Linked DNA regions of Sus scrofa. The protein of the gene in region 1 interacts with the protein of each later gene in a biochemical or structural test. Links are inferred from orthologs where the notes say so. Each region holds a gene or a part of one and is shown in the gene's direction. Other genes may lie near its edges.

Evidence for each region.
Region 2: the proteins of PTEN (region 1) and RPL22L1 form a complex in vitro, tested with the Homo sapiens proteins (2 studies listed by BioGRID). The link is inferred for Sus scrofa from reciprocal best matches to the Homo sapiens genes PTEN and RPL22L1.

The regions. Positions count from the first base shown.
Region 1 is NC_010456.5:99,928,032-99,932,454, forward strand, and holds the start of PTEN (phosphatidylinositol 3,4,5-trisphosphate 3-phosphatase and dual-specificity protein phosphatase PTEN), read left to right. Parts: upstream 1-1,558; 5' UTR 1,559-2,262; coding exon 2,263-2,341; intron 2,342-4,423. UniProt on the Homo sapiens protein: Dual-specificity protein phosphatase, dephosphorylating tyrosine-, serine- and threonine-phosphorylated proteins.
Region 2 is NC_010455.5:109,496,408-109,500,957, reverse strand, and holds the start of RPL22L1 (60S ribosomal protein L22-like 1), read left to right. Parts: upstream 1-1,462; 5' UTR 1,463-1,593; coding exon 1,594-1,602; intron 1,603-3,369; coding exon 3,370-3,462; intron 3,463-3,641; coding exon 3,642-3,763; intron 3,764-4,550.

The DNA.
Region 1 (4,423 bases):
AAGACCCAGGAGGCTCTGGGGTCCCTCTGCTTCTGAAAGGCGGGAGCCCTCTGGGCAAAAGAAGCGAAACACTTGCCTCTGGAGTTATCAAATGGGAGTGGGAATTTGGAAAGTTCCCCAACTAGGATCACACGTGACCTCCCCCTGAAAGTAGTTCCGACTGTGGCCCGTATATCCCTCCACCTCTTTTTGAACCCTCCTCGGTCTCCTCGGCTCCGCCCACTCGCCGGGGCTGCAGCTTCCTACCGTCGCGTACTTCACTCTCCGGCCCAGCAACCCGAGTCTCCGCCCGGGTGGTGGAGCGCGGAACCGGGCCCCGGGGCGATCCAGCCAGCCAGGTTTTCACAGCGGCCCAAAAGGGGGCGGGGCGAGGAGTCTTTGGCTCAGTTCGACGCGGTGAACCCTACTGGAACCCCGAGGGGAGAGATGCTCTCTGCTCTCCAGGGGGCTGGGGTGCATCCCAGCGTCGGGTATCAGCTTTCATTTCACCTGGACATTTGTCCTTTGGGATCTAGAAATTCAGGGGCGATGTGTTCATATTCAGCACGCTCTGCTGGACCTTTCAATTTTAGGGCAAATGAACCAGGTTGCCGGGGAAGCGGGAGGTGGGGCGATGCAAGGGAGCCGGATGAGGTGATACACACTAGAGACACAATAGGGGATTCTTTGTATTAAGACTGACACCTTGAGGACACGGGTGGGGGTGGGGGATAGGTGGATTTTTTGGCAGAGGCTGCTGCAGTCAAATCCCTGCGAACGATTGTGATCCGACAGCGGTGCAAAAGGACGGGGGGTTGCAGGCCGTGCCAGGGAAATCTGGGGGCAAGGGGAGAGGTGTCCTCGCTGTAGGGACCATCCTTGCGCTTCCCGGTACACTACCAGCGCAGTCACCTGGTCTTTCCCACCTGTGCACAGGTAACCTCAGACTCGCGTCAGTGACACTGCTCAAAGAACCTGCCTCAGCCTTCACCTTAACCCCCCTGTCTCGCTCGCAACAGCCTATTCTGCCTCGGGTTGCGTTGCTGGGCACAGGCTATGGTTCAGCTCGTCCCCCCACCCTGCGTTGCTGCAGAAGCAGCCGCAGCAAGTGCAGCTTCAGGAGGGGGCCTCGGAACAAGCCCGAGCGAGCCCCGGGCAGTCATACTGGGCATGCTCAGTGGCGCCAGCAGGTTGGGGACTCGGCGCTCGCACCAGAGCTGCCGCTTCTGCCCCCTCCCTAAAACCCCAGCCCTGCCCTGCGCGTCTCTCCCCTGGCGCGGTCCGGCCCGCCTCCCGCCTCCCGCCTCCCCTCGGGCTCCCAGGCGCCCCTGCCCCTAGCGCGGCGGCGGAGGGGGCGGGCAGGCTGGCGGGCGGTGATGTGGCGGGACTCTTTGTGCACTGCGGCAGGATACCCGTTCGGAGCCGGGACGCGGCTGCGCTCAGTTCTCTCCTCTCGGAAGCTGCAGCCATGATGGAAGTTTGAGAGTTGGGCCGCTGTGAGGCGAGACCGGGCTCAGGCGAAGGAGATGAGAGACGGCGGCGGCCGCGGCCCAGAGCCCCTCTCAACGCCTGTGAGCAGCCGCGGGGGCAGCGCCCTCGGGGAGCCGGCCGGCCGGCGGCGGCGGCAGCGGCGGCGTTTCTCGCCTCCTCTTCGTCCTCTTTTCTAACCGTGCAGCCTCTTCCTCGGCTTCTTCTGAAAGGGACGGTGGAAGCCGTGGGCTCGGGCGGGAGCCGGCTGAGGAGCGGCGGCGGCACCTCCCGCTCCTGGAGCGGGGGGGAGAAGCGGCGGCGGCGGCGGCGGCGGCGGCTGCAGCTCCGGGGAGGGGGTCGGAGTCGCCTGTCATCATTTCCAGGGCTGGGAACGCCGGAGAGTTGGTCTCTCCCCTCTTACTGCCTCCAACACGGCGGCGGCGGCGGCGGCACATCCAGGGACCCGGGCCGGTTTTAAACCTCCCCTCCGCCGCCGCCGCACCCCCCCTGGCCCGGGCTCCAGAGGCCGCCGGAGGAGGCAGCCTTTCCGAGGATTATTCGTCTTCTCCCCATTCCGCTGCCGCCGCTGCCAGATCTCTGGCTGCTGAGGAGAAGCAGGCCCAGTCGCTGCAACCATCCAGCAGCCGCCGCAGCAGCCATTACCCGGCTGCGGTCCAGAGCCAAGCGGCAGCAGAGCGAGGGGCATCAGCTACCGCCAAGTCCAGAGCCATTTCCATCCTGCAGAAGAAGCCCCGCCACCAGCAGCTTCTGCCATCTCTCTCCTCCTTTTTCTTCAGCCACAGACTCCCAGACATGACAGCCATCATCAAAGAGATCGTTAGCAGAAACAAAAGGAGATATCAAGAGGATGGATTCGACTTAGACTTGACCTGTATCCATTTCTGTGGCTGCTGCTCCTCTTTGCTTTTCTGTCACTCGCTCTTATAACGTGGGAGTAGACGGATGCGAAAAATGTCCATAGTTTGGGTGACTATAACATTTAACCCTAATCAGATTTCTAGATCATGTATATTTTGTGCTGCTTTTGAATGCATTCAGCCTAGGGTGTGTTCATCTAGACAGAACTCTTGCTTGGTTGCAAGTGTCAAGGCGCCCATGGGTTTCTTAGTCTGTCTACGGGGTCTCTTCCTAAGGGCTATTGTCCGTTAATACAGAATACAGTACAGTGTTAGTGGATTAGTGAGCTCGGTAATCCGGTCTATTAAATGAACAGAAAAGTAGATGCTTTGAGGTTGAGCATATTTCGATTAAATCTTGGCTTTAGGCCCTAGATCAAGGGTATAGATCAGATTAAAATGAAAATTAGTGTTGCACGTACGCATATTGCATCAGAATCTTGCAGTGATTGTTTTGAGTTTCCTGGGTTGCATTGATAGATTCTTTTAAAATGTGAGTTGTGAACTGATTTGCATAACTTTAGAGAGAATCATTTTAGCATATATGGTGCTCATTTGAAGGCAAAAGTAGGTTTGTGTGTTAAAACAAAGTTAATTACAACTTTGAACTGCATGTGGAAGTTTTGTAGCTTGAAATCAATAGTGCCGTGGTATATCTCATAAATCGTTCTTATTAGATCTTTGTTAAATTTGCTCCCCTCCCCCCATTGGGGTGATATGGGATAGGATATGAAATTTGCAATTCAGTAGCATTTTATATTCAGTGCTCTTGTGACAAGTAGTAGAATGGAGATTGAGTGGTTTTTGATCCCAGATGATAAGGTTGTATAGGTTGAAGGGTATAGTGTGTAGCAAATGGTGATTGCAGAGATTAAACTTCAGTTTCACTTGAAATTTAAGTATTATTGTGATGCCAGAATTGCTGCTCACCTTATTTAGGTATCATGTCCTCTGACACCTTTGGGTATCCGTTAATCTTACTCTGACTTGTGTAGAATGTCAAGTACAATTTATCAGCTAATAATCAGACTGGCAAGAGTGGATTACTCCAGCTTCAGATTGTAGGTGTGTTCCGCTTTTTCCATACGGTGTCTTAAATTTACTGAGTCAGCTTGTTGAATAAGATAGAAACCCAAGAATTTCAATAGTGTATAGTATTGGTTGTCTAACAGGCCCTTGTACTTCAAAAGATGCTGGTTATCAAAAGGCATTAATCTTTGCAGTTTCAGGTATAATAAGCTGGCTTTGATCAAGGATGGGAATGGAGCCCTTTTTTGCAGAATGAAAAGTATCAGAAATTGAGAGTTACGAAAGGCCAGTGTATAGACATGAGACAGGATTAAGTTACTGGTCTGAGGTGACTGAAGCATTTTTTTAAGCCTCTATTAAGATAAGAAATTTGGTGGTATGAATTTTACTAGTTGACAATATTTAGTTAAAACTATGTAGTTTTATAAGTGTTAATATTCTTTAATAAAAGTGGTTTCTTAGCAACTGTCAGTAAACATCTCTCCTAAAGGTAAAGTGAGACTAAAGTGTTTATATATGTACAGCTAAAAATTGTGGGGGAGTTTTTTTGAATCAAACGTTGTATATCTGGAGAGATTTTATTCCTTCGGGTTATGTATGTGCACATAGTGTGCACAGCTAATTTACTCGAAGTATTTGTTTTGAAATGAAGATAAAATTACTGAAGAAATAGCTTTACCACGCACACAAGGTAACCGTTTTCTGTTAAGTTAAAAAAGAATGTTTAAAAAGAATATTTGGAAATTTTAAAGTTGCATTAATTGAAAACTTTACTGAGACTGAACTTGACCCGCTTACCCAGAAGTTAATTACGGAAAAACTCTTCTGATTTGTAACTTACTTCAAAAATAGTCTACTGTTGGCGTAAACTGACAGTCATCTGAATATATAGGAACACATTAATTAACTGTTTAACTTTTTAAAATAAGCCTCCATTCAAAAAATTTTCCAGAATGCTGTTTATTAGATTGTTTTTAATATTCACAGTATGTTTATGCTACTTTTGCTATACCCATTTGATTTAAACG
Region 2 (4,550 bases), on another chromosome or scaffold:
ATCCATGCAGTGATGCAGAGCGTACTTCTGAACTGTTCACTCAAGGAAAAGAAGGGAGCAGCAGCCACTTTGGGGCAGGTGCAACTTGGCAGCAACTCCTCACTTGTTTTTCACCTTCCACTTCTATGACTTCTCTGGGAGGCACGGGACTCTCGCGGGAACCTCTGTACTAACACTTATTTACACATGCACAACCTAAAAATACAAGGCAGTTACCACCCCAGGGACAACCCCTGACCAATGGGGGACAGGAAACTGGGGAAAAACGCTCCTCTCTCCTAAAAGAGAAATAGACAGAATGTAGGTTTGGGCATAAAGGGTATCTGTCACAATTGTCATTATTTTTTCCTGAGATGTATGGTAGCATTCACTGGTGAAGATATCTGGGTGTTTTTCCTGTGGAAAAGTTTTAATTACAAATTTATTTAAAAGATATAGGACTATTCAGATTTTCTGTTTCTCCTCATGTAAATTTTAGGTTGTATTTTTCTAGGTATTCATTTAACCTAATTTGACATATTCTGGCATACAGTAATTTCAACTGTTTTCTTTTTTTAATTTTTTTCTTTTCTTTTTAGGGCCACACACTCGCAGCACATGGAAGTTCCCAGGCTAGGGGTCAATCAGAGATACAGCTGCCAGCCTATGCCGCAGCCACAGCAACGCAGGATCCTAGCCACCTACATTAGAACTCACCGCAAGGTTGCCTCCTTAACCCACTGAGCGACGTCAGGGATCCAACCTGCAACCTCATGGTTACTAGTTGGATTCGTTTCCGCTGCACCACAATGAGAAAACTGCCAAACTGTTTTCCTTTTTAACTGAAGTATAACATATACATTTACAGAAAAGTACACAGATTATAAATTTACAGCTTGATGAATTTTCACAAACTACACATATTCATGTAACCCACCACCAAGATCAAGAAACAGACCACTACTAGATCTAGATGGAAGTCAGGTGTCCTAGGATTAACTCTAAAGCCTATAAAACCTATAAAATAAGAATAAATTACAAAATGTGAACAGATGAGTACTACATATTTTTCTCTTAAAGGTTTTTTTCCCCCTCAAGAATCTAGTTTATTTTGGCTCTCTGAAACACTGATTTCCCTCAAGAGTCATTTAGAAAACTCATAGTCAAAACATAGATAAATAAAGTTTTTGCTGGAAGACTATAAATGCAAAATAAGACAGGAAATCCCAAAGCAACCTGAGACATTGCCTTGACTTGACTGGAAAGAAGATCCAGGCGATTAGTGACTAATGTTTCCTGCTTCCTCGGTGTGTGCATCTGAAGAAGCCTCCCTGCAAGCAACCGCAGAGACCACTGTGGTCAACCAGCGTGCTGTCCCCAGCAGTGTAAAACTGCGAATCATTTCAACTACAGCCGCTGGCCGGTGCTCCTACGAAACCTGAGCGCCTCCAGGCCACGCCCTCGGTTTCCTGGGTTACTAGCCTCCAAGCACCTCCCAAGGTCTGTTCCGGGAGGCGGTGATCTTACGTTCTCGACGCGTGACTCAGCACGCTTTGGTATAAATACGTGCTGCCGGAAGACGCTTTCTCTCTTACCGCGTGGCCGGCCTCCAACATGGCGCCGGTGAGTGAACGTGATCTCGCCGGGAATTCTTACTTTGATGTAGATGTGTGTTTCAGGTGGCGAGTTGGGGGAGGCTAGTTCTAGATAAAGAGTGGTTAGAATTGGAGACTTGGGTCAGGAACACAACCAAGATTAAGGTTGTAAGTTTTTTCCTGACTCTTGACAACTGCTACGCGGCGAGGGCCCGGTATTGGCTTAGGATGGGTCGTGGTGGGAGCGCAGGAAAAGCGGAGGCACGACGGTGAAGGGGGCTAATAGAACAGCATTTGGGCTTTGTTTTTTCTCCCTGGTGCATGGTAAGGCAGTTGCTACTCTTTACAGTGGAAAGCAGATGTGGGTAATCGAGCGGGTCTTATAGCCTTACGAGGGCGGAGGGAGATAGGCGTCTCTCATTTCCCAGGATAGCCGCGGTTGTAGAGGTTTCAGAGAACTTTAGAACTAAGTTGGGGGAAAAGTTTGTTAACCTCACAAAGGAATTTTTTTAAAACGTGAAAGTCAACGACTCGGGCAAATATAAATGTTTGCTTCAAAGGTTTTATTGACCAGGGGACCAGTAAGGTCTTAAAGCTGGTCCAAAGAGCGTTTGAAGTGTTAGGGTAAAATTGCTGGGTTATATACAAAACTAGATAATGTGCAAAGGGGCCATAAGCCCTCTGGGCATATTTGTTCCACCGACAAATTATTTGCATTTCTGAAGTTAACTGATGGCCCAGCAGAGCTGTAAATTGCTCGGTCAAGCCCAGCTCCTGGGAATCGCTATTAACTGTTCGAAAGTTTAGGATGAATTTTTTTGGCACAAGTCTAAGGTAAAAAATAGCAGTTTAAGTGGCATTTTTTGGTGGGTGGATTTTAATGTGTAACTTTATTCTGTGGTATTGTTCGAAAAGTTTAGAGTATGGTAAACAAAGTACTTTTTCTTTTTTTTTTTTAAGACCACCAGACTGGTATCCTTTTCCTCACCCATAACAGCATTAAGGTTTAATTCCTTAGAATAAAATATCCTATTCTTGCATGAAGCTTAAGTTTTTCACGAAACTTTTCTTGATAACTTGAAACAATGTGAACCTGGTTAGAGGTCCAAACCAACGCAGATAGGTATTTATTAGTTTTGACTTGTAATAGAAAATAGATGCTTTTAGTCTCTTCCAATTGCAAAATAGGATTCTTTAGGAATCTTCTGATGAAGGAAACTGAAAGTATACTTTTTTTTTTTTTTTTTTTTTGTCTTTTTGCTGTATCTTGGGCCGCTCCCGCGGCATATGGAGGTTCCCAGGCTAGGGGTTGAATCGGAGCTGTAGCCACCGGCCTACGCCAGAGCCACAGCAACGCGGGATCCGAGCCACGTCTGCAACCTACACCACAGCTCACGGCAACGCCGGATCGTTAACCCACTGAGCAAGGGCAGGGACTGAACCCGCAACCTCATGGTTCCTAGTCGGATTCGTTAACCACTGCGCCACCACGGGAACTCCCTGAAAGTATACTTTGAGCTTTCTTGAGTATTATTGCACTTGTAAGACACTTGAATGATGAATAAGTGAAATTTCCATTGGACTTCATGTAACTTAGTTTTAACCAAATTAATGAGTGTACTCCATAGTGTGGCTTTGTATGTCCAATAGATGTTAAGCAATTTTTTAGAATTTTGCACCATTTCATATATATAGCCTCACAGTACATTGTACATCACTGAGCTGGTATAGATTTTTGGCTTTGAATAAAGTGAATAAATGGTTGTAGAGAGCCATAATTATATTGCCTTTGTAGAAGAAAGACAAGAAGCCTAAGAAGTCAACCTGGAAGTTTAATTTGGACCTGACTCATCCAGTAGAAGATGGAATTTTTGATGCTCGAAATTTTGTAAGTATCACTCTACCCAGGTGTTTTTTTTTTTTTTTTTTAAGTCATTGTAGTAGAATTCTTAATGAATTGAATATGTAATATTTGATTTTAACCTATGCTGTGTTCCTAGGGTGCCTTCCCTAGTGAATACCTAGGGTTTTCTTCCCTAGTGTGGCATTTTTTCTATTTTAAAATAGGAACAGTTTCTACGGGAGAAGGTTAAAGTGAATGGAAAAACTGGGAATCTTGGGAATGTTGTTCACATTGAACACTTCAAGAATAAAATCATGGTTGTTTCTGAGAAACAGTTCTCTAAAAGGTTGGTATTTGTTTTCCATGGTATATATTTTTTTAACAACATGGGGTGTTTTAATATTAGAATATGTTTGGAGTTCGTGTTGTGGCTCAGTGGAAACAATCTGACTAGCATCCACATCCACACAGGTTCGATCCCTGGCCTCTGCTCAGTGGGTTAAGGATCCATTGTTGCCATGAACTGTGGTGTAGGTCGCAGACACAGCTTGGATCTGGCGTTGCTTGGATCTGCCAGCAGCTATAGCTCTTGATTCGACCACCCCTAGCCTGGGAACCTCCATATGCTGTAGGTGTGGCCCTAAAAGACAAGAAAAAAATATATATATATGAGTATGTTTGAAGAAACATGTCCGTTGTTGAGCGTGGCAGTCATGTCCCAACTTAGTTCTGGTTGTCTGGTAGAGGCAGTCAATCAAAGGTCAAGTCTCTAATGTTAGTTTTGCTGTCAGTTTACCTGACAAATATGTAATACATAGCACTGTTACAGGACTGAGTAGCCTAGCAGTGAACCAAGAGAACTAAGTACCCACTACCAGGCAGCTTAAATTCTAGTGGAGAAGAGAGAGAATGGAATGCAATATTAAATTATTGATAAATGCATGTAAGTGAAGATTGATGTCCTTATATAAGGTGGTAAGGGAAAGCTGCATCTAAATGAAATGCAGTAGTGAGCCATGCAGTTAAGGAATTGATCATTGTGGCTGTGAAAGATTGGTGGTGGAAACTGAAGACTTAGGACCCTGTTATAGTATGAGATGGTGGTGGCTTGGACTGAGGTGGAAACAAGAGAC